4 linked regions of the Lonchura striata genome follow. The protein of the gene in region 4 interacts with the protein of the main gene of each other region in a pairwise test. Links are inferred from orthologs where the notes say so. Each region holds a gene or a part of one and is shown on either strand. Other genes may lie near its edges. The genes, in order: RNF111, CNOT4, MUL1 and UBE2E3.

Evidence for each region.
Region 1: the proteins of UBE2E3 (region 4) and RNF111 interact in a two-hybrid assay, tested with the Homo sapiens proteins (2 studies listed by BioGRID and IntAct). The link is inferred for Lonchura striata from reciprocal best matches to the Homo sapiens genes UBE2E3 and RNF111.
Region 2: the proteins of UBE2E3 (region 4) and CNOT4 interact in a two-hybrid assay, tested with the Homo sapiens proteins (3 studies listed by BioGRID and IntAct). The link is inferred for Lonchura striata from reciprocal best matches to the Homo sapiens genes UBE2E3 and CNOT4.
Region 3: the proteins of UBE2E3 (region 4) and MUL1 interact in a two-hybrid assay, tested with the Homo sapiens proteins (2 studies listed by BioGRID and IntAct). The link is inferred for Lonchura striata from reciprocal best matches to the Homo sapiens genes UBE2E3 and MUL1.

Annotation. Positions count from the first base shown.
Region 1 is NC_134613.1:10,560,199-10,567,640, forward strand, and holds the start of RNF111 (E3 ubiquitin-protein ligase Arkadia), read right to left. Parts: upstream 3,008-7,442; 5' UTR 2,900-3,007; intron 2,788-2,899; exon of another isoform or gene 2,474-2,787; intron 1-2,473. UniProt on the Homo sapiens protein: E3 ubiquitin-protein ligase. Required for mesoderm patterning during embryonic development. Acts as an enhancer of the transcriptional responses of the SMAD2/SMAD3 effectors, which are activated downstream of BMP.
Region 2 is NC_134607.1:56,511,377-56,518,716, forward strand, and holds the start of CNOT4 (CCR4-NOT transcription complex subunit 4), read left to right. Parts: upstream 1-4,333; 5' UTR 4,334-4,657; intron 4,658-7,340. UniProt on the Homo sapiens protein: Has E3 ubiquitin ligase activity, promoting ubiquitination and degradation of target proteins. Involved in activation of the JAK/STAT pathway. Catalyzes ubiquitination of methylated RBM15.
Region 3 is NC_134626.1:7,632,543-7,640,162, reverse strand, and holds the start of MUL1 (mitochondrial ubiquitin ligase activator of NFKB 1), read left to right. Parts: upstream 1-4,603; 5' UTR 4,604-4,634; coding exon 4,635-4,754; intron 4,755-4,853; coding exon 4,854-4,941; intron 4,942-5,839; coding exon 5,840-5,960; intron 5,961-6,651; coding exon 6,652-7,372; 3' UTR 7,373-7,620. Other genes in the region: protein FAM43B, read left to right, coding at 2,118-3,008. UniProt on the Homo sapiens protein: Exhibits weak E3 ubiquitin-protein ligase activity. E3 ubiquitin ligases accept ubiquitin from an E2 ubiquitin-conjugating enzyme in the form of a thioester and then directly transfer the ubiquitin to targeted substrates.
Region 4 is NC_134610.1:23,812,238-23,820,174, reverse strand, and holds the start of UBE2E3 (ubiquitin-conjugating enzyme E2 E3), read right to left. Parts: upstream 3,004-7,937; 5' UTR 2,813-3,003; intron 2,434-2,812; exon of another isoform or gene 2,382-2,433; intron 1,562-2,381; 5' UTR 1,553-1,561; coding exon 1,359-1,552; intron 1-1,358. UniProt on the Homo sapiens protein: Accepts ubiquitin from the E1 complex and catalyzes its covalent attachment to other proteins. In vitro catalyzes 'Lys-11'- and 'Lys-48'-, as well as 'Lys-63'-linked polyubiquitination.

The sequences.
Region 1 (7,442 bases), on a different chromosome or scaffold from region 4:
ATTATTTAAAAAATTGTTTCTTAGTCCCATTTTTGACCTTTGAGGTATGTGTAATTCTTCTTGATGTAGTGCATTTTGCAAACACTTCTCAATAAAGCTTTGAGGAACAAAGTTAAACATGATCTTTGCCACAGCTGCTAGTAAGAACCTTTCAAGTGAGAATTGTGAAATTAACCATTAGGGCAGTTTTATGCTGTTTTTCAGGAAACCTATGGGAAGAAGGAGATTTTATAGATACTAAACTGATCTACCAGTTTCAGGGGAAAGGACACTGCAGCAGACTTCTCCACTCTGCACCCAGCAGAGACAAAAGTAAACATTTTACTTAACAGCAGTCAAATATTAGGATTAAACTATATTGGGGAAAAAAAAAAAAAAAAAAAAAGAGATTGCCCTTACTGGCCTCTTGCTAGTAAAGCCATGAACCAGCCTTCTCAGATTTCACTTGGTGAACACTTAGTAAGGAAGATATAATTTTAATTTAGAGCAATTCCTTTTCCAAATAGCATAAACTATATAAAACAACAAAATAATACTATTTTGTCACTAGATCTGTAGTGGTTTGGCTCTTTGTATGTCAGTAAGGTTGAAAAGAGATTTATTAACATGCATATTGAGTAATATCGTATTGGATACATGTACAAGGTAAGGATAGGATAGCTGCTCAAAGTTGAAGTCTCCTGAGTTTTGTCAGTGTAGCCACTTTCAAAGTTTACAGTGCTCTTGTAAGAAACAAAATGTATCTACAACTGAAGTCTTAACTAGTGAACTTTTTTCAACGTTAAGTACAGATTGGTGGGGGTTTTTTTGTGGGCTCAGGTCAGGCCTAGCAGAGAACCCTAATGGGGCAGAGGGAAAGGCAGAAAAGAAAATGTTTCTTTTACCAAGCCAAACTTCTGCTGACAACTCACTTAAAGGAGATTGCACATCAGGAAAGCCATGAGGAACCCTTTATACAACATGTGCCTATGGCAAATCTAGCTCTCTGTACAATCCCCATTGTTTACCTGTGAATTAAATCATCATGTTCCCCATCCCATCATCACACTCCCCCCTCAATTTTTCCCTATTTATTCAACTGCTTGACATGCAAGCCTCTATAATACATCAGCTATGGAGGAGGGAACTATCACCTCTATCTTTTTTGAAAAGACTGTCCTCACCATTAGAAGAAATACAAAAAACTGAAATGAAAGATTGGACACCTTGGGAAAAAAAGGCAGCAACTGCTGTCATCTAAATGTTACTGCAACACAGTAACTCCAGTGAAAATCAACTGCTATAACTGATCTGGTTATGTAGGTCAACAATGTCACTAATTCAAATATAAACTGTGAGTCACAGTTGTGTTAAGATACATTTTTAATACATTTTTACAAAAGCCATTGCTTCATAAAGGCTATATTCCTGAAAGGTCAGAATGCTCTCATCCATGTTTTGAAAGCACATTCAAAATATGCATGAATGCTGTGAGCTGTTGCTCATCCTCAAGCTTCCAATACCAGACAATCTCATCTGTAGCTGCCAGGGCTTCAACCATCAATAAAAAACAGATTTTTACATATGTGAGACTTCAAGACTTTAAAATAGGAAGCTTGGTGCCTTGTGCACTATTATTTAATTAAAGTGAACCATAAAATGTTCCTACAGCCTTTCCTACCTTATGAATTCCAGAGGTGATTCTATACTGTGGATGAGTACACAGGACAGGTGACCAGATGTTTGCTCTATCAAATAAACCAAGATCACTTCTTTCCCTATCAATCCTTGCACATCAGCAAGCATCATCCTAACAGGGTTTGCTTCTGTTCCCTCCCTGCCCCAAGACAGTTCCTTTATCCAAAAAAATTAAGTGCAAAAACACTTAAATTGCTTAAATAGTTCTGACAGCAAGAACTATGGATATGTGACCAACAAGATGTAATTTCTGGTTTTAAAACTGGCAAAGCATTGTAACTATTTAAATATTAGTCTTCCTGAAAAAGCTTTCTACTAAGTATGCAGCACTTATATACCTTTGGAATTTTCTGCAAGTTACAACAAAGACAAGGTAAGACCTTATACTGCACCTGAAAACACAGCTTTCCTTTAATAGTTTATAATACAGATACCATGACAAACCCAGGTCTACAACAATTAACAGTCAATTCTTATATTTTTGTTCAAACCTTTGTTTCTGAAATCATTGCATTAGAATCAAATTATTCTAATTACAGCAAACTCTTACCTCCTGCATTACATCCTCTTCTGGAGAAGTACTTGGGTATCAGGAATTAAGGGTCTCATTTAATCAGCTAAAGCAACCAGGCCTTGCTTATGATTTAATGAAATAATTTCAAGCCATGGAAGAGCTTAGTCTAACAACATGAAAATTCCATGAATGCATGCTCAGCCCTAACCAGAGAAACACAGACACTTTGAAAAGTACATACCCTTAACACCTGCCCATTGCAACAGTGACAAGCCTACGTACCTCTGAAGATCCCGGCCTACATTTCTGAATGAACGTTACTTCCTTGTTCATCAGGCAAAAAAAACCACCTGAAAATTGTGATTTTTTTTTTTTTAAACATGGGTTAAGAGAACACTAACTTCGCAAACAAAACAAATGACGTCATAACAGACCCTATTACGCACAGAAATAGAAACTCATTTCCCTAAGGGGAAAATTTGTGACAAATTTGTGACAGAACCCCAGAGAGTGCTGCGGCTGCCCGCAGTGAAGGCACTGCTTTGTGCGTCAACGAGGCGCTGAATAAAAAAGGAAAAACACATTCTGCGTGAAGTTCCCCCCCGCCGCACAGCCCCGCCGCTCGCCGCTGCCGTCAGTGCCGGGCGGGGAAGCGGGGCCGCCCCGCCGGCCGCGGCCCCACCCGCGGGTCCCCGCCGCCCCCCGTACCTGAGACAGCGAGGCCGCGGGGGAAGGGGCGGGTGCCGCCGGCGCCCTGCGCAGGGCCGAGCGGTAGAAGCGGCCCCGGTGGGCGCCGCAGTGACCCCGCGGCGCTGCCCGGCGCGCCGGGAGAGGCCGCAGCGTGCCGGCTGTGGCGGTGCGGCCGCTGCCGCGCTCCGGTCCCGGTGCGGCCGCGGCGCCGGGCGGGCCCCGCTCTGTTGTGGCGCAGCCCCCGCCGCTCCCTGCCCAGCGCCGCGCGACACTCGGCGCTGCTTTACAGCCGCCCGCAAAGCGCAGCCGCGCCGCCGCGCGCCCCGCCTCCCGCCGCGCCCCCTGCCGGCCGGCGGCGCCGCCACAGCGCGGGTCCGGACCGCGCGGGGCAGGGCGGGCTCGGGAGGGCAGCGGACACGTCGGGATGGGCTCCTGAGGGCAGCGGGCACGTCGGGATGGGCTCGGGAGGGCACCGAGCACGTCGGGATGGGCTCCTGAGGGCACCGAGCACGTCGGGATGGGCTCGGGAGGGCAGCGGGAACGTCGGGATGGGCTCCTGAGGGCAGCGGGCACGTCGGGATGGGCTCCCGGACCGGCGGCACGGCCCGGGCTGCCGTCGCTGCTGCTGCCTTTAGGCGGTTGTGTGTAAATCTGTAAAGCGGTGGTGTCAGAGCACAGGGCGGGCTCTGCTCGGCGGTGCCGAGGAATGGGACACGAGGCAATGGCAGAAACACGCCCAGAACGTCCCAGCCGGCCTGAGGAAGAACCTGGCGGTGCAGCGAGCGCCCGGGAGCGGGAGCACGCTGTCCAGCGCCGGGGGCTCTGGGAGCCGGCTCGAGCAGCGGGGCAGCCCCTGCGGCCGCTCCAGCCTGCCCCTCTGCGATGTCCCTTCTAGCACCTGTCCAGAACCATTCCTTTTCTTCCCAGCGCTGTCTCCCTTGGCACCGCAGTACCTCGCGGCTGCCCGTCCTGCAGCCAGTGACAGTTGCGGCTGCGAAGACACGCCGGCAAATCCCAACTCTCCATCCCAGCTCGTTAGAAATAGGAGTTTATTTGTCTTTACTGCACAGAGTCGGGATGAGGTGAGCCTTTCCCCGCTGCATTCCTATGTGCACACAAACGGTGAGGACCTGTCCCGACAGCGGCCGTGTGTGACACGGACAGCACAGCAAACACGAGGCTTTGGGAAGGCTCTCAGACAGCAGCAAGCCTCAGCGTCTGCTGACTTTGCAACTGCCAGAGGCCAGGATACCTCTGCCAGAGATGACCTTTCATCAATGTCAGGGTACACATTCCAGCTCCAGATTGAAACACTGCATAGACAGGGGTCCTATACTGTCCGTGACCAGCAGCTACACAAACCCGAGGCTTTGGAGCAGACAGGTACAGTCTGGTCTACAAATAGTTAGAGATTTTACTCAGAAGGCACTGCACCAGAGAGTCATCAATACACAGCAGATCCTACGTGTTTTGGAGGAGCTAAACAACCTGCATGCATCATTACAAAAGAAGTGGTCACTGGGGAAAAATGCATGTTATTTCATTAAATAATTGCATGAGTTTCTGAACAGAATTTCCTTAAAGCAAAAGTGGATAAAACAACATGGAAATTAGACTCTACTTCAATATATATCCAAAAGTGTACAAAATGCAAAAAGGATCACAGGTTATTTCATGTGGTTCCATGAGCAGAGCAACAATTAATTTCAGTTTGCAATAAAGACAATAACACAGGTTTTCCAACATTAATTGTCTACCTTTCTCTACATATTTCTCGTGGTGTTGGGTAGTTTTCTTTTTTTAAAGTCATATATATGACTTTAAAAAAGTAAACACAGACACCGAGCCACAGATGAAATAACCAGTGAAACTGGGGAGAATGTGAAGACAGCAACAGACAGTGGGAGGAAGGTCCTATCATTCCATGGGGGTCACCAGTGGCTTGACTGTGTAAGCAATTTTAATATTTTTCCATTAAGCACTAGATCCAAAGTTGGAATACTTTACTAAAAATCAGCTGGGAAAAAACCAATCAAGACAATATATGGGAAGAAGTAAATGACCCTGAGGACTAATAGAAGCAAAGTGAAAAAAACATCAAATACAAAGAATGTGCACTTGAATGTTAATGACCAAAAGTTTTGGGTATTTATCAGGTAAAAGGCAGCTGGATGCGAAGTTCAATTACCAATGTAATTAAGTAAATGACCATCAGTCAACAACATTTTGTAGACATGAAAAAGCAAATATATCTCTATAATAATTTTGTTTAAATAATTTTAAGAGAGAGAGGTCTCAGTGCTATTGCAAATATTATTCCTAATGTAGTCTTGCAGCTTTTTTAAAATATGTATCCAAGGAAGATTAACTCTAATCTTAGTGGGACACTCAAGAAAACAGTATAGATTGTATGAGAGGAAGCTAATAAAATTTGGCTGGATTGCTTTAAGAAATGAGACACAGGAGCATTGTGAATAAGCTGATGAGAGACTATACCAATAAAAAACCTTACCAACTAGTTACGTATTTACCCATTTACGTAATAATTGGTTTGAACTCTTGTGTCAAAGGTGACAGAAGGGTAGTTCTTGGTAGAGAAAATGTAGAGTCACTCTCTGCTCACCAACTGAAAGATATACAAAAGATCATTTCAAAAACAAAAATCATGGATAAAGTTTTCAGTTCACAAATTAAAATGCAAATATAGTCAGTCTTGATTTTGTCCCAGTGAGAAGTCACAGTGGCCAAATGATCTGTAAATGTTCAAACTGGGTACAAATCTGTGGACCTTTCTGTAATATAAAGGCAGAATTTCTAGGATCTTTATTGGCTAAGATTTCCTAACACTTATTTCAATATGGACCACCAGCTGACAAGAATCTAGTAATTTGTGGGCCAGTCACCCTTTAATAAACTCTTGATAAAAATTAGTTTGTCCATTATTGACTGGTTATTAGCGTCTTTTTTAAAGAAAGGTGATGTAGAAAATACTTAAGTGCCCAGAATTATTCACTATTAAAACAAAACCAACCTTCTATCTATGCCCTTTCATGGAAGTTTTTTCTGCCATTATCTTCGTATCTTGCAGAGACAGTTGTCTTGAAATTAGATTACTGATTCCTTGGAACAAACCAAAACGTTCTCCTTCTCACACTTTTTAGGTACAGAAAACCAAAAGATTAAATTGAATAAGTCTAAATCACTAATGCAAATTTCAGAATGGCTTTCAGGCTATGATGTCATCAGTTCATACTGAACTCCTCAACTTCTTCTAACTACAGCTGAACAAAACCATTTATATGTACACCCCAGGGCCTGGCAGAACTAAAGACACGGAGAAGAAATTATCTTATCCAAGATCAAAACATGCCAGCCAGCAGAAGATTGCACTTTACATTTTTGGCAAAAAGACTAAAAAGAGTAACCCAGTTATCCTGAGGTGCCTTCAGCAGCTTGTCTACTTGGCTGGACACAGCTCATGCAGGGCTGCTGGAGCAGTTTGCTGGCCCAGAATGGAACAAGGCACAGCTTTTTCCAGGGGTGAGCAGCAGCTTCTGCAACAGCCCCGTGGGCCGAGCTGCACAGCCTCCCAGAGAGCTGGCTCTGCTCTGGGCCGGGCTGGATGAAGCCTGCTCGTGGCCAGGACAGCATGGAAGGGGTCTACCTCTAAAACTGTGACAGCATGGAAGGTGTCCACCTCTAAACCTGCGCCCATAGCCAGGAGTGTGGATCTGTCACACGCACACTGCTGGTGGAGCTGTCACTTGCAGCCAGGGCCATCCTTGCCGTTTACGGACCATACTCAAGCATATATTTAAATGCTTGCATGAGTTAAGGCAACTTACAATTACTAGTAATAGTAATAAAATGTAAAGTTGTAGTATGTTGTGAGGACGATACAGAAAACCAGATAATACAGAAACATTTCTGTGTTAGATCAAAAAAACTCTGGGATTGATACTTGGATGATAAACAGTCACAGCTCTAGTTAGCCCAGATGAAGATCTTAACCATGAATATTGGAGAAATAGGGAAAAGATAAAAAGTCCTGAAATATTTATATTATGATAAATTTCTACTAGGAAACAAGAAAAGAATGATCATTTGCAGAATCAAAAATAAAACTTGATGGTTGTCTGTGCTATATATTTTCTGATGGAAATTTTTGAATGCAATTAAAGAGTTTTCAAAAGCTCTGGAAAATAACATGCACCACTCAGGTAATTTATAGTAATTTATATTTTTATGATATATGGGAAAACAAAATACCCTGCATTACAGTATAATGTTGATATGGAACTGACCTACCAGTCACTCATTTGATTTCATGTTGTACAGCCAGATAAGGCTCTGTAAGGTTAGAAACAGCATTTTCACAACACATGACTTAAAAATTATGCAAACTCCTACTAAGGTCTCACAGTATCTTTCTGAGATTATCTGATAGCTTAAGTATTTAAGTTGCCATATAATTAAGAAGGTGTGGTGTATATAATTACTTGGAAATAGCTAGTTTGTTGACAGTATTTTTAATAGTTCTTTTTCTTATTCAAAAACAAAT
Region 2 (7,340 bases), on a different chromosome or scaffold from region 4:
AATCTATAAAATATGGTTAGCATACCAGCTTGGTCCCTGATCCCTGTGGATATGTTCCTGACCCATAGTGGCTCTTGGCCTGGTCCAGTCATGGTACAGAGTGATAGGGGAAAGATGGAGCAGAGGGGAAAGAGGGCAGAGCAGCACAAGGCACACAGCACAACATTCCTTTCCTTCTGTCGGCGTGTCAAGCACAAGCTAAGATGGAATGTTCTCTATCAGAATATAAGAGCCAAATTTCTCTGTACAAGCATCTCTGTCATAAAGAGTCTCAGTTACAGTGCTGCCTATATGCAAAACTGATCTAATTATTCTCAGATCTCTCATTTGTCCTCATTACAGCTGGTTCCCTCAGCTCCTTAAGGAACATAATTCATATTTCTGATTAATAAATGCTTTGACTTTCCTACTTAAGCTATTACTTTGCCTATCTAATCTCAGACTTGTCTCTCTATCAGCATTATTTATATAGCATAAAATTAGCTGCAGTAGCTCACATTCCTTTTGGCAAAAGGAAATATATCTGTCTGGAAAATTGCAAGGTTGCAGCTGGAGCTTGGCTGGCGCAATATATTTACAAGCGTCAAAGTTCATGCCAACCCTTTAATGCAACGTCATACTTTCTTGACAGGTGAGCTCCTGTCACACCTGGCTTATGCAGAACATGAGTTCCAACACAAGAAAAAGTCAGTGGAAGTTCTTGTAATGGACAGTTCCTGTTTATACAGCAGCCATGGAATCAATATGCAGGAGAAAGTATTGCATTTTCTCAAGTCATGCACTTTTTATTTCATCTCAGCAAATCGCATATGGCTGAGGCATTTTTGTAAGAATGTGAGCAATTTTGAGCTCTGGAAAATGCTGAGTGCTGTTGGATGAAGGCAGAGAAGGACAGAAGAGGAAAAATACATTCCTTTGAATGCACTAATATAGAAGGCAATTAAGGAATATAACAATAATGAGCAATCATTCTGTCTCATAATGTATGTTTTGCTTTAAAGAGCAGGTGATGACTCCCTGAAAACAATAATAAGTAACATAATGAAGTCCTGCCTACACAGGGATGTTACTTCAAATATTTCAGATAAGTTGGCTTGAGCATATTTGTAACGATTGTTTTAAAGTGGCTGGACTTTCTTTTTTTGCATGGATGAAACCCAGGCTCACTAGCTCTCAGCTATGACCTGTATCCAGTTTATGAGAGGATTCTACCCATATTTGAATAATTTTCCCTCATTGTATAATGTGATAAGGTTTCTTTGCTGTCTGGCCCCTGAGTGCCCTCTTTTCTTACAAGATCATCTGGATCAAGTATGTTAATCTCTCCTGCTGAATGCTGATGGCTTCCACCGCAATTCCAGTATGTGTGTGCTCCTCCAGATGCACACTTTTTTTTTTTTTTTTTGAGTACCACCTCTTTCCCTCCTTAATATTGTCTCATGGGTTATATGTATCAGCACATCCAACCCAAACTTCAGGGCACTGCCTCAAATATTACTATTTGTGACTGCTGGTCAAACTTCATGCAAGAAAGGGACATTCCTGAGAAATGGACCAGTGCTGCCATGCTGCCATAAAGCAAAATATAAATCATATATAAATCATATAAATCAAAATATAAATCATATAAATCAATCATATGAACAGACATTTTTACTCTAGCTAGTGCTTGGTTATTTCCAAGAAAATGTATTCCAAAAGCTTTTCTTTATGAATGTGGAAATGATTTCTTAGAAACAGTCCTGCTGAGTTATCAGACTCATTCAAAAAAAGAAACCCAAACATTTCCAAGAGTAAATAAGGTGACAAAATATGGTTAAGTAATCTTACGAAAGCAATTACAAATACTTACAACTAATAAAAGAATTAATTTAAGGACATCTTAAAACTTTAAAATGGCCACATAATGACCTAGTGAATTATTTTTACCAGATTAAATAAGAGGTGGAAGCAGGGCTATGGATAACTTTTGGTAACATCAGCCAGAGTAGTCTTCAGTCATGTAGATTTTTTCCTACATTATTATTGGATACTGCTGCTATCTGTTCATGTAGGTCTTGGCAACATGATTTGAACAGAATTTTACTAAGGGAAAGACTCCTTAATTCTGAATTAAAAGAAAGCACAGAATTCACTTAATATTAACAGCCTCAATTCTGACTCAAAATCACAGCTTTCATTTATATTATTTTTAACCTTTCTTTCCAAGTCAGAATACTTGCTTTTATTCAATAGGAAACGTTGCTGGTTATTAGGTGTGTCAACAATCACATTACTTATATAAATTACTTACATAATTGGTACTTCTGGAACCTAATGGTTTATATATCAGTTGATAGGAAAATGTAAAAATAATAAAGTTTTTGAGAAATACATTGTTATATACATACATTCACCTGAATTAGATTAATATATACTGACTAGTTACTTTTACATTTTACATTATATATACTTTTACATGATATAGTAAGTATATGTTACAGTCTAAGATATATGCAGAGAAACAGGATTTCTCACATATATAGGCATTTGTGTTCCATATTATGTTTTGTTTTCTGAATAACATGCATTTGAGTTCACATATCAAGACTACTGCTGCAAACAGTAGTCTTTTATGCTGACCTGGGTCTTGCCTACAGCAAGAGTTGATTTATAGAGCTTTCCTGTGGGGGAGATACATATATCAGTCTAAAATTTAATATGCACAAGGTAACCTTAACTTGTTTCAGAAGAAGATAAGCTATGTCAACACAAACATTTTTAGTTGAAGAGGCAACTTGTACAAAACTGTAGTAGTATAATACTTCAAACTAAGAAACAAAATTACAGGAGAAAAAGAATCTATGCCACTAAATGTAATGGTTGTGCCAGTGCATTTGGTGATGAACACCTATTTGTCCTACGAACTGCTGAAATAAGTAAAATTCTCAGGCGAATATTGTCATGGCACAAATAGCAATAGTTTGTGCACTGGAGATAATTGATAATTAAACATCTACGATGAGGCTGGCTGTCCTGAGAGCTAAGGATGCCAGGCCAGAAAAGCCACAAGAGAGCTATAAAGGCGATCAGTAAAAGCACTCTCTGTCAGCTGAGGTGATGAGGTCTTCTGTGCACCATCGGGGATCACAGAAAAGAGGGATACAGGTGCAATTTGAACAGATCCATGGCACAGGGTGTCTGTGGTAGAAAGAGGGGATAGAAGCAATGCAGTTTCCCTGAGTTTCTACAAAATAAAAAGTGAGAATCAAGCGAGGAGGGCGAGGCGGGAGGCGGCGCGGGGGTGGGAAAGGTGGCGGGGAGCGCGGCCGGCCGGCTGTGGCGGGGCGCAGTCCCGCTCTGCCGGCGGGCGAGGGGCCGGGCGCCGCGGGCAGAGCCAGAGCCGCCGGGGCCGGGCGCCGCGGGCAGAGCCAGAGCCGCCGGGGCCGGGCGCCGCGGGCAGAGCCGGAGCCGCCCGGGGCCGGGCGCCGCGGGCAGAGCCGGAGCCGCCCGGGGCCGGGCGCCGCGGGCAGAGCCGCCCGGGGCCGGGCGCCGCGGGCAGAGCCGCCCGGGGCCGGGCGCCGCGGGCAGAGCCGCCGGGGCCGGGCGCCGCGGGCAGAGCCGCCCGGGGCCGGGCGCCGCGGGCAGAGCCGCCCGGGGCCGGGCGCCGCGGGCAGAGCCGCCGGGGCCGGGCGCCGCGGGCAGAGCCGCCCGGGGCCGGGCGCCGCGGGCAGAGCCGCCCGGGGCCGGGCGCCGCGGGCAGAGCCGCCGGGGCCGGGCGCCGCGGGCAGAGCCGCCGGGGCCGGCTTTGGCGGAGCCGCGGCCAGCCCCGACCGAGCCGCTGGCAGCCGCGCCAGGCTCCCGGCAGAACACAGCCCCCGGCGTTGTAGCCAACAGCCGGCAAAGCCCGACGGGGAGCTACACGGGATCGCTTCGACCCGGCAGGGGGGGAAAAAACTCCAAGGGACACCAATGACAGGAAAATAATATTTTTAAAGAAATCAACCCACTGCTTGAAAACCGCGCGGTTCAATGTCCAGCAACAGGCGGCTGAAGTTGCAGGGAGTTTACGGACGGGGACTTCCCGGAGCAGGGCGGTGGGACGGCCCTGCCCGGCGGAGGGCTCGGCTCCCCGGCCCGGCGGAAGAGGACCGCGCTCCGGGATGATCGCCGCCACCTCTGCCTCCTCCCGCGCTGCCTGGGCCAGCGCCGCCGCCTACAAGTCCCGTCATGCCCCGCGCCGTCGCGGCCGCTGCCGTCGCGCCCCGTCCCCCTCCCGCGCCGCTCCCCGCCCACTGCCGGCAGCGCACGCGCAGCGGGGGCGGCGTCCGGGGCAAGTCTCCCCAATGTAAGATGGTGGCCGGGCTGGCAGCGGAGCGCCCCGAGCTCGGAGATCGCCCGTCCCTCGCGTAAAGGTCGTCGGAGCAGCCGTCCGAGCGCCCGACTGGCCGCCGCCGCACGTCCCGCCCCAGGAGCACCGCTGTGGGTTTCTCCCCTCCGCTTCTCTCCTTCCTCGCCGCCTCTCTCCTTCCCTCCCCACCCTTCTCCTCCTTTTCCCCTCGCCTCTTTTCCCGCACGCTCGCTCACCCACCCGCCCGGCCGCCTCCGCCGCGCTGGGCAGCCTGAGAGGGAGAGCCGCGCACAGGCACCGCGGGCCGGGCAGGCAGGAGGAAGGCGGGTGAGTGCGAGCTGAAGGCCGGGCCGGGGAGGGAAGGAGGAGGGAAGGAGAGACGAGGAGGAGGCGGGGGGGAGCCGGGCCGCTCTGACTACGAGAGCGCCGAGGCTTCGCTGGGACGGCGCAGGCCGCAGCCCACCCGCCGGTGCAGCCCCGGCGACGGGAGGACGCGCCGGGCCGCTGCCGGGCGCCGAGGGCACCGGGCCGTGAGGGGAGGGCGCGGGGGCGAGCGGGCGGCTCCTCCTCCCTGGGGGCACCGTGGAAGGGGCTCCGTCCGTGTCGCTGCCCAGAGGAGCTGTGTTTATTTCCTCCTCACCCCCATCTCCGGCGCCGGGAAGCCCTTGGGCCGGGCTGGGCCACCGGCCGGGGTGGCGGAGGGACGGTGGCCCCGGAACCGCTCGCATTTGCCGGGGCAGGCCGGTGCGGCCAGGCGCGGGCATCGCAGCGTGATTCACTTAGAATTTGCGTGGAAATTTCCTCTCTTCCCTTCTTCCTCCTCCCTGGAGCCAGGCTCCATTTCTTCTTGTGATATGCACTTTTTTTCCTGAGGGAGAGGCAAACAGATGGTGAATAGCAGCGTCTTAATTTTGGTGTTATTTTGGACAGTCCGTGCAACCTCCTGAGATTTGTCTGTCAGTAAAATAACTGGTATGTAACTTTCCGTCTCCTGCTTGCAAAAATTCTAGAAGCTCTTTCCATTTTGTGTATTAACAGAAGCAAATAACAAGACTATGTATGAGTGCTCATCCTGCTTCTAGCGAGGGTCCTACAGCTCTACCTGCCAGTTTAAAAGTGAGCAGCCAGTGCCTTTGTATGTATAGTAAAAGGGGAGGGAAAATACTAGATAATTATCTTAAAATGCTTCGTTATTATGCCAGAAAGGATTTAATTGTCCGTGGCTTGTATGCTTCTGTCAGTGTGGTAATACCAAGTATGCTGTTCATAGGAGAAGCAATTTTCTCCAGAGTGTATATTAATGTGAGAAAAATCTATCAGCTGCTTAAAACTGCGGAAATTCTAGACCTGCAGATATTGGCTTACTCCTGTCCAAAAGTTTTAGGAGTTAATGTTGACTAGTCACATGTTTACTGAGCCTGTACACATTTCTAACTTGCTGTGTTTTAACTGTGTTTTGGTTTAGTTTTGAAATGTCTTGACTTGAGCATCTCTGTACTTTGAGTTCATATTCATGTAAACATGGTGTCTGGCACTAACAGAAGAGCACACATACTGAAGGATGAATATGTGGAAGATTGAAACGTTTTCTAGCTCCTTTTACTGCTTAAAAAGGGAGAAAAATAAAATGCAGGCTTATGAAGAGCAGGGAATAAAACAGCTGTTTGACTCAAGAGGGTGAATTAGTTTCATATGGCTTACAAATAGTCAAATATACTGCTAGTTTTGTAGCACCTCTGTATTAATGTAGAGATCTAACTTGTGGTCTAGGATTCAGCTGTGCTGCACCTTAGGCTTTTGGAATTCTGTGATAGAGTTTCCATTTCCTAAACAAGATGAACACATGTTTAGAAATACTTGGCTGAAGTGCAAACTAAGTTCATTTTAGGGAAAAAGATTGTTTTGGAAAGGGGGAATACAGTGATAAAATTTTGTCTTCTTTTAGCTTGCATATTTCTTAGATGCCTTTTCATTTGTTTTTAAAATTAGGAGTACTGGAGGATCCTAACAATTTTTCTCTTTACAGAGAAAAGGTGATGAGTGTCTGTCAGGATTAGTGCTCTACTAGTTTCTTGGTGCCTCAGAAAGTTTAAGAATATCTTTACAGTGCCCACTAAATAAAAAAACTTAAAAAGGCTGGTGAGAGAGTATATACAAGTACATGGCTTTTTTGTTTAATTCAAAATAATCTGTATGTAAAAATACCCGTTTTCCTTTGTGGCTATTGTTCATAGAAGTTAGGATATTCTTTGTGAGTTAAATGTTTTTGAAATAGCTCTGACCAAGATCCTAAATATGGGCCCTGAAGGCTTAACTCTGGCAACTACTGCTCAAAATCTCACCTGCCTCTTTGAAATAAATGAGATTATTTCAAATGGACCACTCTGTAAGCACAGGTAACTGTTAAGTGGCTGATTACAGATTGCATCTTGGGCCTTGGTTGCTCTGGTAAGATGAGGCTGATCTATAGGCTTTAACACATGGTGAAAGGAAGTTACTTGCTCAGCAAGACTGCTAGAGTCAAGGGTTCTTAAACTTTCACACGGTGAATAGTGCCTTAGGTTGTACAAACCACCTCTTGTCCTACTTGCAGTTATGCTGTATTGCTGAGATAACTTGAGTAAGTGCATATGTGAAAGACTCCATAACTTAACTTGCTTCAATGTCCTGAATGCTTTCTCTCTTTTAAGATGTACATGCTTTATTTCTTCTTTTTTTCTTTTTTTTTTTTTTTTTTTCAGTGTGTATCTTTCTACCTGCTTAGTCACATTTTTATTGGATGGTAGCAGTGTGAGGAGATAGAACTTTATGAGTAAATAGACTCCCCATCCCTCTGGGCCACCCTCTTCTCTTTCTTGGAGAATAGTCTATGAATTTATTCCTTTCATGAAGTTGGTTAACATTTTAACAACTGTAAATGCTTTCCAGACTTGGAAAATTAAGTATAGCAGAAAATGGTTTGGCATGGCTTGAGCTGTTGCTCCTACCTTCTGGTTCTTCCTGTAAGTAA
Region 3 (7,620 bases), on a different chromosome or scaffold from region 4:
CCTATATACCCCAAAATCTGGGAGAAAAAAAGGAAAACCAGTCCTAGGGCAACTTGTGGGTGGCACTGTGGGGTCAAACCAGTGTAGAGGGACACCACAGGCCCCCTCCCCCCCTGACCCAAATAATGTGGGATCTGTAAATAAAGAAGCTTTCAGGGTGGGTCCACACCTGCCCTCTCAATATGAACACCAAGCAAGTAAACACAGTCCTCACCTCAAGTCAACGAGGGCAAGAATAGAAATTACTAAAGACAGAGGCTATCATGGATAGAAATCTTCCTCATTAGCACTAATTCCCTAATTGCCATCTCCCCAAAACCATACAAGCACTGGGAGCAAACCACACAGCCCATGTTTGCATCAAAAAAGATGAAAACCAGACAAATCCATGCATTTTTTATTATTTTGGCTGCAAAAACCTTCAAGGCTGTCGAGGCCGCGGCAGTGAGAGAGTGGGGCTGGTGCTGTCTGCCTGTGAAGCTGCTATTTTAAGGTTGTATTTGCTTCACTCAAACTGCAGAAAATCTGGGAAGCTGCTAGGAAATGGCTTCCCGTTTCCCTGCAACACCCCACTCTGTTTTTCTTCCCCAAGTAGACTAAAAGTGGGGGCACATGGTGTTATTTTACCCCTTTCTCCACCTCATTTTTCAATCCCAAGGCAAACAGAGCATCCCCAAGCCCAGGGGTCTCCCTGCTTTACATCCAGATGGTAAGAAAAAAAAAAAAAAAAAAGAAGGTGGAACTCAGGGTTTGAGCCAAAGGCACTGAATCCTGGAGCAGCCTCAGACTCCACTGCAGGGCTGAAACCTTGCAAAACCTCCCCAAAAATTCCCCCCGAGCTGTGCCATGGGGAAACAACATTCAATTTCTCCTGGAGAACAGCTGTCTTAGGGGGTTGGCCAGAGATAAAAGCAACAGGTTAAAAGCCAGCTCAGCCCAAAAGGAGAGGAGCAGCAAGGAGGTCTGACTGGCTTGGAAATAACAGGAGCAAAAGGGAGGTCTGGAAGAAAAAATGCCAGCAAACCTGCAGGATCTGCAAATCCTGGCACACACCCTTGTGCAACGTACTGCTTTGGGGGGAAAACCCCACCTTTTTGTCATTCCAGTGTCAGAAGCCATCATCTGACCCTCCCAAAATCAACCCCCCAGCCGGGTGGGAAATCAGGGAATTTCCTCTCACGCCGGTGGGTGTCGGCACCGGGGGTCTGGCGGCTGCATGGGGATGGGGGCTTGATTCCCCCCGGCTTCCAATCCCTGCCGGGGCACGCAGCGAGCGCGCACGGAGCCGGCGGGGGCCGCTCACCGGCGGGGGTCTCTCACCGGCGGGGGCCGATCAGCGTCGGTGACCGCTCACCGGCGGAGGTTTCTCACCGGCGGGGGCCGATCAGCGTTGGTGACCGCTCACCGGCGGGGGCCGTTCACCGGCGGAGGTTTCTCACCGGCGGGGGCCGCTCACCGGCGGGGTCCGTTCAGCTTTGGGGGCCGTTCACCGGCGGGGGCCGTTCACCGGCGGGGGCCGTTCACCGGCGGGGGCCGTTCAGACCAGCGGGGTCCGTTCACCGGCGGGGGCCGATCAGCGTTGGTGACCGCTCACCGGCGGGGGCCGTTCACCGGCGGGGGTCTCTCACCGGCGGGGGCCGCTCACCGGCGGGGGCTGTTCAGCTTTGGGGGCCGTTCAGCTTTGGGGGCCGTTCAGCTTTGGGGTCCGTTCAGCTTTGGGGGCCGTTCAGCTTTGGGGGCCGTTCACCGGCGGGGGCCGATCAGCGTTGGTGACCGCTCACCGGCGGGGGTCTCTCACCGGCGGGGGCCGCTCACCGGCGGCTCCCCGCGTGCTCGAGGAGGTGGAGCAGCCCACGGAGAGCCGCGTCCCCGCAGCCGCCGCCGCCGCTCCCGCAGCATCAGGCGCAGGCGGCACCCGGAACGCGGCGGCTCCACGGCTCCGCATCCTCCGTGGGCAGCCGGATCGGGAACGGGGCCGCGTCCCGCCGCCGGGGTAGGGGACGACACCCCCTGCGCGGGGGGTGCGGGGACACCCCCCAAACCGGCTTCGGGGCTTGGGGGGGTGGTCCCGCTGCTTGCGAGCGAGGCCGGCACTGGCGGAGCGGAGCGGAGCGGAGATGCTGCCCTGGCGCCGGAGCAAGTTCGTGCTGGTGGAAAATGAACGTAAGTGCAAAGGCAAGAGCCTGGGGCCGGGGCTGAGCTACGCGGCGCTGCTGGCCGGCTTCCTCCGCTCCTGCCCGGACCTGCTGCCCCAGTGCCCGCTGGAGCGCCTGGGCAGCGTCTTCCGCGGGAAGCGCCAGAAAGTGGAGCTGAACAAGGAGGACCCGACGTACACGGTGAGGTACCTGGGCAACGCCGTCACCCTGCACGCCAAGGGCGAGGGCTGCACCGAGGAGGCGGTGGGCAAGATCTGGGCCAAGAGCGAGGCGGGCGCCGGCGGGGCCAAGATGACGCTGACGCTGGGCCCCCACGGCATCCGCATGACGCCCTGCGAGAAGGGGGCCCGCCGGCCGGGCCACGCGTACCTGCTGCACCGCATCACCTACTGCGCCGCCGACCGCCGGCACCCCAAGGTGTTCGCCTGGGTGTACCGGCACCAGGTGAAGAACAAGGCGGTGGTGCTGCGCTGCCACGCCGTGCTGGTCTCCAAGGCCGACAAGGCGCGCGCCATGGCCCTGCTGCTCTACCAGACCTCGGCCTCCGCCTTCAACGAGTTCAAGCGCCTCAAGAGACAGAGCGATTTCCGCCACGTGCAGCAGCAGCTCCTGGGCGACGCCATCGTGCCCTTGGTGCCCCTCCGCAGGCTGCTCAACGCCAAGTGTCCCTACCGCCCGCCGGCCGAGCGCGCCCGCTGCGCCCCTCGGCTCAGCTCCATCCTGGAGGAGGAGGAGGAGGAGGCCTTCGGCGCCGGCACGGCCCTGGGGGACGCCGAGCGAGCGGCCGTGCTGCGGCTGGCCAGCGACATGAGGGGCTGCAGCCTGCGCGGGCCCCGCGCCGCCGTGTGCTGAGCCCGCGGCACCGGGCCCCGCGCCGCCCGCCCTGCGCCCCGGCCGCGGCTGGGCCCTCCTGGGGCACCGCTCCGGACAAGACAGCAGCTCCGCTCGCGGCGAGACCCACGGCGGGGGTGGGCTTGCACCCCGGGGAGCCCCCCGGCCCCGCACATGAACCTGCTCTCGTGCCTCCTCCGCAGCGGCCATAATAAAAAAGTGAATGTGTGTTTTCTGCGGTGTGACGGCGCCTGTGTCTTGCCCGGAGCCTGGCGGACGGCGGAGTTAAGCTTGGCTCTGAGGCAGTTTGGGGGGTTTATATTGCATTCACCCCCCGAAAGGCCAGCCAAGGAGGGGGGCTGCGGGGCCACAGTGCTTTCCTGCCGCACCGAGGGCGGGGAGAGCTGCTCTGCGTAGCCATGGCAACTTGATTTTTTAAATCTAGAGCCGGGGGGGCGGCTGTGCCGCCCACGTCGGGGAGCAGTGATGGGGTTTTGGCCCCTCGGACCCCACTGGAGAGCAGAACTTGCCTGCACCACCCCGCCACTCCAAATCAGCACCAAGGGCCTGAAGATCAATAATTTACAAAACATTTCTATTTTTTTCTTCCCATTTTGCTGCTTTCCCAGAATAAGCGATGGTAAGGAAATGGTGGGGGGTGGGAGTTGGGGTAGGGGGGGTTTGTGTCCCCACCAGCAGGGATCTGCCACCCTGCCATGGCCCTTTGTGGGGCGTGGGAAAAGGACTCTGCAAAGTGGGGCTGGGGGCTGCGTCCTGAGGCTGAGTACTCGCACTGGGGGGGCGGGACGTGGTGCTGCTGCCCCCCAGCCCAGTGAGGGGTTGTAACCCCTTCCCCGAGGGGCTATAGGGCTGGGATTTGGGGAGATATCCCCCCCCAGGCCAGTGAGGGGTTGTAACCCCTTCCCCAAGGGGCTATAGGGCTGGGATTTGGGGAGATATACCCCCCAGGCCAGGGAGGGGTTGCAACCCCTTCCCCAAGGGGCTATAGGGCTGGGATTTGGGGAGATATCCCCCCCAGGCCAGGGAGGGGTTGCAACCCCTTCCCCAAGGGGCTATAGGGCTGGGATTTGGGGAGATATCCCCCCCAGGCCAGGGAGGGGTTGCAACCCCTTCCCCAAGGGGCTATAGGGCTGGGATTTGGGGAGATATCCCCTCCTAGCCACGAGGGGACAGGCTTTGGTCTGACCACTGCCCCCACAAACTTATCAGAAGGGTGAGATTCGGGCTGCCCCCACCCTCTAGTAGGGGGGTACGGGGGATGCTCTCCGCCCACACCGGTGGCATTAGGATTTGGGGCCAGCTGCCAAGATCCTAAGGGATGGCTGCGATTTGGGGATGCTGGTAAGGCTGGAGTTTGATCCCCCCACAAGACCCCAGGGTGGGGGTGGGGTTAAAGGGGTGGGGAGGCTGCGACCTGTCCCGTAAACTCCCAGGGGTGGGATTCACTCCCCAGAGCCCCGCGGGGCCGGGATCCGGCCCCACTCCGTGCGGGGCGGCCGCAGTCCGGCTCTGCCCCCCGGCCTGGCGGACCGCCCGTCTCCATGGCGGCGCCGCGGCTGCCGGAGCGCCGCTCTGACGTCATCGCCGCGCGCCGGGCGGTTGCCGTGGTAACGGCGCGAGGCGGCCATGGAGGGCAGCGGGCGGCCCTCGGCCGCGCAGGCCGTGCTGCTGACCGCCAGCACCGCCCTCACCGCCCTGCTCTACTCCATCTACCGCCAGAAGGCCCGCGTGGCCAGCGGGCTCGAGGTGGGTGTGAGGGGTGCGACGGGGGAATGCGTTTGCCCGGGCGCCGAGCCGCGGCCTGGTCGCGCCGGCTGAGCCGCGGCCTGTGTTTGTTCCCCGCAGGGCGCCAGGAAGGTGCGGCTGGACGGGGACCTGCGCGCCCTGCTGCTGGAGGCGCCCGGACGCTGCGTGCCCTATGCGGTCATAGAAGGTAGGGTCGTCTACAAACACCGGAGGCTTATGTCCAAAAAGGAGACGGAGGAGTCCTGTGACTTTATTCAAATCAAGGGAGAGGTCATGGGCATTTCCCATGGGGTCTCTCAGGTTACTAGAGGATGCAGCCTCCTTTTTATTGTCATTTCTCTCTCTCTTTCTGTATTGGCTGAGGCATTTGAAAGGTACAGACTTCCTGAAATGCCTGATACCTAAGTCCCCCTTCTAATGTATAACCTCATCCCACTTTCCTTTTCCTTGGGTCAGTCCGTAGAATTCCTGTGGCATTTATGGTTCTTCCTATTCTTTCTTTTATCTCTCAGTATCTAGTTTTATCTACCAGCAGACCCACAGTTTGTTTGTAAAGACAAATCCCACATTTCTTTCAAACAGGACCCAAAGCAGTGTCCCAAATGGAGGAGGGGGGGCACATCCTGCCCCACAGCTGCTCCTCACTGGGGGATTTCATCCCCAGCTCCTCCTCCTGTGCCCATCAGGTCATCTCCCCCCTGCCAAGCAGCCACAGACTCCTGACAGCAGAAAATGTGGGCTCTCAGCCCTTTTGTCTCCATCTTAGAATTCTAGAATGAAAGAAGCCTTAAAAGTTGAAAGAGACCTTAAAGCTCATCCAGTGCCACCCCCTGCCAAGGGCAGCCACACTTTCCACTGTCCCAGGCTGCTCCAAGCCCCGTCCAACCTGACCTTGGGCACTGCCAGGGATCCAGGAGCAGCCACAGCTGCTCTGGGCACCTGTACCAGGGCCTGCCCAGCCTCACAGGAAGGAAAGGATTTCTTCCTAGCAGCCCATTGAAGCCATTCCCCATGGTCCTGTCACTCCCAGCCCTCGTCCAGGGTTTGTTCAGTCAGCCCTCACCTGGCCTTGGGCTCCGTTGCAGGTGTGGTGCGGTCGGTGAAGGACACCCTGAGCAGTCAGTTTGTGGAGAACTGCAAGGGCGTGGTTCAGAGGCTGACACTGCAGGAGCACAAGATGGTGTGGAACAGAACCACCCACCTCTGGTATGTGCCTGTGGTGCCCTTGGGGGGTCTGTCACCCTGAAACGGCCTCAGACATGGCCAGAGTGACCAAGTGCCTCAAAGCTGGGTCTCAAAGTAGCCCCCACAGTGACAGCTGCCATAATGGGGGTTTGGCTGATTTTAGAGCTGGATTTGGCTGATTTTAGAGGGGCTGGAGGAGAAGAGCACATCGAGTAACCCACCACGAGCTGAACACTGATCAGCCCCACCTTGTTACCCCACCAGAGGATGGTGTTTCCAAAAAATACCCACTTGCAGAACAGAAATTAATTGGATTTGGGCAATCCATACACCCAGAGGTCATAGAGCTGCTGAAGCAGAGCCCAGTGATGCAGTTTGATAAGCATTTGGCAACACCAAACTGGGATGTGTGACACGTGGTGCTTCTCCTCACAGGATGGTTTTTGGCAGCTGGGAATGCCACAGGCAGGTGAGGAAGAAGTAGGTGGGGATGGGGAAAGCCCCCACTACTTGTGGAGCACTGAGATGGGGGTGGAATGGCCTCGTGCACACCTGGACAGTGCCATGAGGGGAAAGGTGTTCTCCAGAGGCCCCCATCAAAGAAGCTCCACTCAGGCATGTCCCATCTGGCAGTCCCCAGACCCAGCAGGTGATCCCAGGCAGTGTTTCCCACCAGGGGCAGTCATTCACTTCCCCCCTGCTCCCTCCCCAGGAACGACTACGAGAAGATCATCCACCAGAGAACCAACACCACCCCCTTTGACCTGGTCCCTGCCGAGGACGGCGCCGGCGTCACCGTCCGGGTGATGAAGCCTCTGGAGGCTGCCGAGCTCAGCCTGGAGACGGTGTACGAGAAATTCCACCCGTCTGTCCAGTCCTTCACCGACGTCATCGGCCACTACATCAGCGGGGAGCGCCCCAAGGGCATCCAGGAGACCGAGCAGATGCTGAAGGTGGGCACGGCCCTGACCGGCGTGGGAGAGCTGGTCCTGGACAACGCCACCATCAAGCTGCAGCCCCCAAAGCAGGGCATGCCCTACTACCTGAGCTCCCTGGATTTCGAGTCCTTGCTGCAGAAGCAAGAGTCCGGCGCGCGCTTTTGGAAGATCCTGACGGTGGTGTCGGGCTTTGCCACGTGCGCCGTGCTGTTCTTCCTGCTGCGGAAGCAGTACCGGCAGCACCGGGAGCGGCAGCGCCTCCGGCAGATGCAGGAGGAGTTCCGGCTGGCCCAGGAGCGCCTGACGAACACCGAGGGGGGGGAGGTGCTCAAGAACGCCTGCGTGGTCTGCTTGAGCAGCACCAAATCCTGCGTTTTCCTGGAGTGTGGCCACGTCTGCTCCTGCCACGAGTGCTACCAGGCTCTTCCCAATCCCAAAAAGTGCCCAATCTGCAGGCAGGGCATCACCAGGGTGGTTCCCTTGTACAACAGTTAACTTTTTGTGGTTCCCCGGGGGGAGACTTTGGATTTAAAGCTGCCACTGGCAAAGCGGTTTTGTCGCCTCACTGCTTGGGTGGTGGGTTTTGGGGAAGGGGAGGGAGCTTGAGGGAGTGGGTGCTTCACCAGGGGGGCAGAGCTGAGTCTGAAAAGGTGACTCTGCAGCTGATCAGGGCTCACGCTATAATCTGGGGGTGATTTTGAGAGATGATTCCTTGCAAAGGGTGAGGTGCCTGGGGCAAGATG
Region 4 (7,937 bases):
TCATAAGAGCAATACTGTGAATTTCATGCAAATAGCAGGCCTTAAAAGGTGAGCTAACAGAAACTGCTCTGGATGTCCTTGCATTAACATCACTTGCATTAACATTAAATAAGTTCAGTAAGCCTACTGAATTATGTGAGATGCATGGAATTACACTTGCAACAATTAAATGAAATAAAGACAATATGGGAAAATTCAATGTCAAAACCCTGTATCTTAGGCTTGTCAAATAAAAGACAAGTAACAACAAATTACAAGTGCTGCACAGTAGTTGCAAAACTTTTTTCTCTTTAGCCAGTCCTATTTCAAAGGGTTTCTTTAACAAGCTCAAAAGTCATCAAAGGCATGCAGCCATTCTCTGCAACAATTTTAACATATTTCAAAAAGAATTTACTAAGTTTAAGTCCAATACAAAATTACTAAAGTGCTCATAAAAGTCAGAACTACAATAGTTACGCTGAATAAGCAAAATTTGAAGCTAACTACAGCTATTTTTCAACTTTTCTTGCTACTGGATACTTGTAAATGTTTTCAAAGAAAAGCAACTCCAAGGAAAGGACTGGAAAGTTATGTTTCATCTCCAAAGACAGCCGGAATTAAAGAATTTAAAGTTTGAGTATTTCACACAGCTGATCTTTGAGAAAATTACCAGAGTAATTCCTGAGAGCCCAGCTGCCAATAAACTTATATGCAAATGAAAGTGCAACCAATATAACTAAACGAGGTTTCTGAAGATTCTTATATTTAAAGGCAGAGGCTACCTGTAGAATGTCACAGGTTTAAATCCACAGCTCCTAAGGGAGAAAACTCACCTAAGTTTCTCCCAGGAGAATGGCAGAATGAACCCATTCCTTCAAGGTGTGTAAGGCTCTCCTGTGCATCATCATGAAAAGCTCTCATAAGGCCCAGAGAAGCCACTGGGGTTTTATGACTTCTTTAATTAGACAGCATTGCCTGTCATCAGTCTACCAACCATAATAAAATATTCCAGGAGGACTCCACCCTATACCAATCAGGCATGGAAACCTAACTCAGAAAAAAGCACCAAAGATCTCTCACACATTTTTGAAAATACAAAATGTACCTAGGTGCCCCCCTCCCAGTCACCCTGTAAGTCACCAAGTTCTGCACCAACTCTTCAAAAGACATAGCACTATTCTGTTTAACTGCTACCCCAACAAGACTTAGATTAATTAAAACACTGCTTAGCAGGCTCCTGTCAACTACCAAAGCTGATAGTACATTCCCTTCCACACAGCTTTACAAGAAGAATGCCTCTGCCCTGACAAGCGCAGTGCAAGTACTGTGACTCCAACTATGTGCAAAAATACTGCAGGACGTTTCACGCCCTCCTTTACCTTTTTGCACTAGTAGATAGTTTAGCAGTAGTTTTGCTGGATAGTTTGGTGTTCTTCTTCTGCTGAGTGGCAGAGGGCTTTCGTTCTTCTTGCTCTTCAGGTTCAGGTGCAGGCGGATCCCTCTGATCGGCATCTGAACTACCACTGCTGGTACTTGGACTTTCATCGTCTGACCTCTGCCTATCACTGGACATCGTGGGGAACTTTTTGGGGAAAGAAAAGAGACAGAATTAATACACAAGGAAGGACTCTCTCTTGTCATTCCCCAAGTTCCGCTGACCTCTGCCTACCATTGGACATCATGCAGAACTTTTTTTGGGAAGAAAAGAGGCAGAGTTCATACAACAGGCAGGACTCTCTCTTGGTATTCCCCAAGTCCCAGAAAACTTTGAATAGGTGACAAGTCAGTTTCAGTGAGAAATTAATCAAAATATACTTCTTTGTCTCATACACAAGGGCTGGAGTTTGACAGCTACAAAGCAATATTTACACTTCTGAAAATACAGATATTTCCAATTTTTAAACCCACTCACATTTTTTTTCATACTTTAAACAATATGCCAATTGTCGACTTTGTTTAAGGCATGAGACAGATTTAGCAGAGTACTTAGGCAATGAGCATTAATAACTTATGACACACTGTAAATAACAGACCTCACTGAAAATGTTTTTTAAAAAGTCACTAATAACCCGTAAATATTTACACTGGGACAGAGCATTTTATTGGGTCCAGATCCCCCACTCTTCCCCTCTCTCCGAGAAAATACACTGCCAGTTACACTTGGGTTGATTTCAGATGGAAATGTACACTTGCTCTGAGCATTTAAAGGGCTGGCACGCGGGGGAACGAGGTCTGGTTTTTTATCGGTGGTAGGGCTTTTTTTGGTAAGGGGAAAAGCCCCGCGACGCATTTAAAGCCACTGGGGTAGCAGCAGCCCCGGTTATTTACATGGCCAGCAGCGAGAACTGCATTTGGCCACCACAGAGCTGCCGGAGGGGGAAGAAGCATAATTCAAACTGCACCTTCTGCACGGCTCTCCCCGCAGCTCCGCCAGGCAGACCGACATTTTTCCGCCGATCGGGAAGGCGGGGGGGCGGGGGGGAGAAGGAGGGGGCTGCCCCGGCGGCCGGGGGGGCCCGAGGAGGAGCGGCGGGAGCTGCGGCAGGGCTGGATCCGGGCGGCCGCCCGGCCGCGCTTTGTGGGGAGCGCCAGCCCGCCTCGGCTCGCCTCGGCTCGGCGGGCGGCGGCGGCTCGCCCGGCCCCGCTCCGCACCGTGCGTGTGCACCAAGTGAGGCGTGAACTCGGGCCGGCCCCGCGTCCCCGGCCGCCGCCAGGCAGCGAGCGCCGAAAACAAGAACAAAGCTCCTCTACCAGCCCCCCCGCCTCCTCCCCGCCTCCCCCCACCGCGCTCGCCCAGCCGCCGCGGCGGCCGCCTCGCCCGCCGCTCCCTTACCTTCGCCGGCGTCCTGTCCCGATGCTGGGTCGGAGGGGCGGGATGGCGGGGGGCCGGGCCGGGCCCGCGGCGCCCGAGGAGGGGACGGAGGCGGCCGGGGGGCTCTACGGCGGCGGCGGCGGCTCTGTGGCCGGGCAGTGTGGAACATTGAGAGCCGGAGCAGGGGGGGACGGGGGGAGGCGCGGTGCGGCCCCGCGGCCGGCGGGTGGCGCTGGCGGGCCCCGCTCTGCGGCGCGGGCTCCCGCGGCGGGCCGGGAGGCCGGGGCGGGGGGCGGCGGGCGCGCGCGGCGGAGCGGAGGCGGGGAGGGGGCCCGGCCGCCCCCCGGGCTCTCCCCGCCCCGCCCGGGCTCCCCCGCCCGCCCGCGGCCGCCGGCGGAGCTCCCGGCGAGCGGGGGAGGGGAGAGGGGGCGCTCGCTCCCGTCTGCCGGCCGCCGGGGTGCGCGCAGGCGCGCTCCCGCCGCGGCCGGGGGCGCGCGTGCTCCGGGCCGGGCAAGGACAAAGCGGCGGCCCGGGAGCGGGGGGGGGATCGCCCCTCGATGGCCGCTCCGCCCGGCCGGGCGCCTCCCGCAGCCCTCAGCTGACCCGGTCCCGGGGGCTCCAGCCTCCGGCCCGCCGCGGGACTCGCCGGGCCGGTGCCCGGCAGAACGGCGATGCCCGGGGGTCGTGCGGTGTCCACGGCCCTCGGCCTCGCACCTCGCACGCCTCGGCTCGTGCCGCGCGCCCCGCGTCAGGCCAGGGACACGCGGGAATGGGACCCTCGACCCCAACACCCCCAACGCCTGCCTTCGGCTCTTGGAGCTGGAAAAACACCGGCCACCCTGCAGCCTCCCCACTCTGAATAGAAGTATTCACCATCACAACCAGGGCTGCTCTGCGAGCAACCAGCGCGCCAAATCACAAATGTTTTAAAGAGGAAAGGGGATAATTGACAACAATTGTGGTGTCACAGAAAGGTGCTATGGTACGGAGATGCAGCTTATTTTCTGGCCCGTCCCAAATGCACGGTGCCGGTGTGCGCTGAACAGCTTCTCACACTATCTGTCCATAGCAATCCACCAATTTAGGGAATGTAAATACTCCAGTTTTAGAGCCTGATCACGCTGGCGTTAAATTCCAGTTTCTTTAGAAAGATCTTATCTATCTGGGAAAAGTAGATGAGGTTGAGCTGGTGGATTACTGGCTTCTGCAGAGAAGAAATTAACAATTACTATAAATATTTGTGAAATGTACATGAAATCTCAAGGCTAACAGTTGCTGTCCAGCACAAGGGCTTTTGCCTAGATAGCTTTCATCATCAACAGCCTAATGACTTAAAACTGCTGTGTTTTCTTAGCTTGTGCAAGATCAAGGGCTCAAAGAGCATGTACCATGCTCTAGAGGGAATGAAGAATTGGTGCGTCAAGGAGTACCCTTCACTGGCGTTAGCTGAAGTTAGCTCATGCTGAAGATTTGGCAGGAAAGTTGAATAATACGATGTAGGGGAATACTGGAGGTTTGTTTCTTAAAGTAGGCTATAGAGAATTCCCAGCTCACCACTACAGGCAATTTGCCCCTGAGGTATGCTGTATAAAATTCCTAGCATAAACAGTATCTGGCATGATGAGCAATCTGGGCATAATTAGTAAAAGGAAAGCAAGGCAGTATCAAAAATCTATCAGTCAGCACTGAGAGCCTTTGCCCCTCCCCTCTTCCCATTCTGTTGATGATGCTCAAGATGAAGCTTGCTGGAACTTTGAAAGTCAGGATTAAGTCTTTAAAATTATTTCAGGTGAAAATTTGCAGTCATCCCAAAAAAAAGTAGTAGAAAAGTGTACATCTACAGAATGAAAGTAAGTAGATTGGCCAAGAGTTGCACACCACATCAGCTACATGTGTGGCTTTTGTGGCTTTCAGGATACAAAGTGAAAATTAAGAAAGCCCGTTTAATGGAGACTAATAGAAAAATTATTCTAGATTTTATTTTTTTTCCCAGCATTTTTTACTATTTTAAAATGAATTTACTACAGCAATGTGTGGACATAACAGATATTTATTTGATTGAATATTCATTAATTTGACGTCAGGTGTCAAAGGATGACACTTTGTTCTTATGAGGTTGTATTTTCCTTGGGCTCATTTGTTATTCACAGAAAGAAAATGTTTTCTTTCTGTGTTATCATCCACATAAAGAGGACTGCACTGAAAGGTGCAGTTTGAAGGAGAGGGAAAAATGCCAATTTTAGTAGTTATTGTTACAAATCTACACCTCTGTGATTTTTCATATCCCTCATAATTTGCCTTCAGTGTAATTTTAACTGATGTACAGAGTCATGAATGTGTTTTCTCTGTCAGTTTATTGTGTGCTCAAATTGTGGAAGTGCAGCTGGCATTGCAGAGCCTTCCCAAGGAACTCCTGGGCACTCAGGCTGAGGCCTACATTTTTTTCCCAGTTGCCTTTCTTGTTTGTGTTTTGTTACTTTTGTTTTCTTTGGGTTATTTTTTTAGAAGCCCTGTTTGCAAAGGTGGTAGATTGGTAGCTGGTTTTTTCAAAAGCCCAGTATCTTTTTGGGTCTGTCTTCCTCCCTGTTCTGTCAGAGCACAGATATGAAGTTTCTGTTAGCACACAGAGGTTGAACAGTTGCCTTGGACTGCACAGACTTCTGAATATATTTTTCTAGATTTAGGAGTTCACAGCTGGGTCTCCTCCATCTGACATGAAGTTCTTAGATAGCAAACAATGGGACCAAAACTAGGTGAAAAGCATTTGGATCTCCTGACCCAAATAATTTTAAGGGCGTACAGGTGGTAAAATAAAGCCAGCATACATTTTTCATGATTAAGAGCAGTTCAACTCAGTTCAACAGTTTACAGTTGTGTACTTCATCTTTTTTATTAAAAAGTCATAGTTTCCTGACAGTAAATTCATCATCTAGAAATGCATCTCTCTGTCCTAAGTGTATTCCCATTCCAGGTTGTGTTAAAGCCCCTGCTGGACCCCTACTACAGCACCCTACTGCAGTGCTACAGATAGATGTGGACAGGCTGGAGAACCAGGAAATGAACAATTTATTTTTTTTTTAAGTGGATGGGGTAAGATTTAGATTGTGTTTTTGTTTGTAGGTAATGTCACAGTAGAAACTAGTGCTCTTTGTAAGGTAGCTCTTTTTCAAATATTCAGTGTGTCTTGTCCCAAGACAATTGACAGTTTTAACAGAGAGTTCTAGGAAAGCAGACAATGCAAAAATCTTGGGCCAAGAAGGCATGTAGTGACTTACAGAAAGGAGTACAGGAAGCCTGCAGTAGCTGCAGCTCATCCTGTTGTGCCTTCACCATAACTCTGATTATTCTTACATTGTGATGCTGTGGATTCTTTGGGGTTTATGAAGGAAAAATAAGCCCCTAAAGAACAACGTCCCTACTTCATTTGTGTTCTCAAGAATTTACAAAAACAGTGGAGGTAAGTTTTTGAGAAATAAAGTCAATGTGGCAGTGGACAGGAACCAGCCATTAGAAAGCCACATCCTGGTCCCTTTGTCAGCTGGTATTCAGCCCATCTGTTAGTTTTGTGTTGCCACCATACAAAGTTTGGCATGGGAATATGGTGGAGGAAGGATTGGAAGAGGGCTGGGCGGAAGAGATGAAGGCAAGAGCCAGAACACTGCTGTGCTTCAATTGTTCTTGTTTGAAGGATGACTTTCTGGAGGCTGCTGTAGCTCAGCAATAATCCTGAGACTGCTCTAATGCAGCCTGTCATGAGGCCTGGAAGTTGGGATTCTTACAGGACTTTTCAGGATATCTTTCCTTCTCTGAATCCTTGCATGATTGAATAAATCAGGAAGAGAATTTTGCCAACTTCTTTTAACACAGGAGTTAGCTGTTTAGCTGGGATTTTTTTATTACATTGAATACTGCTAAATCCATAGAATGTATCTAAATCCATAGAAAAATACTTAGCATGCACTAAAGCACCACATATATTAATTAATCTTCATCATAATCCTAAGAAGTAAACCATAAGTCCTACTGTTCAGCATATGCTGTATTTGACAGTTGTATATTACACACTGGAAGGCTAAATGGTCAGTTGGCTACTGGTTTTTAATGGGCAGACTAGCATTAGGTACTTAAAAACATAACAGATAAATGCATGGTTTCAGAGCACAGAGTAACGTGGATATGTTTGTATTAGGGTGTTCCCATGGAGTTCTTGTGTTCTGTTTTGTAAATTCTTTCCTTGTATGTGGATTATTGATGCAAGTTAGAAACACAGTGGCCCCTTTGTAGTTCCTGTAGTCATTCATATGAATTCAGTGCAGTGCATGTCAAATGAATATCAGTGCTTTAAAAAAATCCATCCTTTACTTTTTGTTGAAAGCAGCTTGAATTTACCAGCATTTAATTGCTGTAGTTTTCATTTTACTTGGAAAGCTTTAGGAAAAACAAGAAAATTAGAGAAAATTTGGGTGGAGTTGTTCTTGGCTACTGGACAAAAGTAATTTGACTTTCGTAAGGATATTTCCCTCAATAGCTAAGCATTATTTCATCTGTAAGCAAGAGGATTTTTTCCTCTTTTACAAATTTTAATTGTAAATTTCTCCTTGATGTGTAGATATGTGTAGTTATAGTTGTGTTAATGCATGTAATTTTTAGTGCAGTGTCTTGAATATTTACTACAGTAGAGTAAAATGTAAATACAGACTCTACCTGTACCAAAGTGTGAGATCAATAGGTCTATAAGTAACATCATAAATTCCATAACATTATTTTGTGGTATATATTCAGCAGTATAGTGTGTAAATCATAAGCTAGGGAGAGCACAGCTCTACAGATACAACTCTGGCAGACCAGCATTTCTGGGCAACTTTCGGTATGAAATCTGCCCCTTTTCTGCTCACAGGTGTAGTAAAATTGTGTTGTCATTCTTGGTGTCTGATAATCTGCTATGAAAGCTGTAATAGTGAATAATGTTGAAGGCCTAGTGAAAATTACATTTCCCTGTTACAAATAGAGACATTCCACTCCTAAACTATCTCAGATTGAATTATGTGTAAGTCTACACATAATAAGTATATGTCTTAGTGCTATCTATATACTGCTTAGATTTTAAACCTTTGGCTCTGTAAAAGCTCTGGCTCCAAAAGACCAA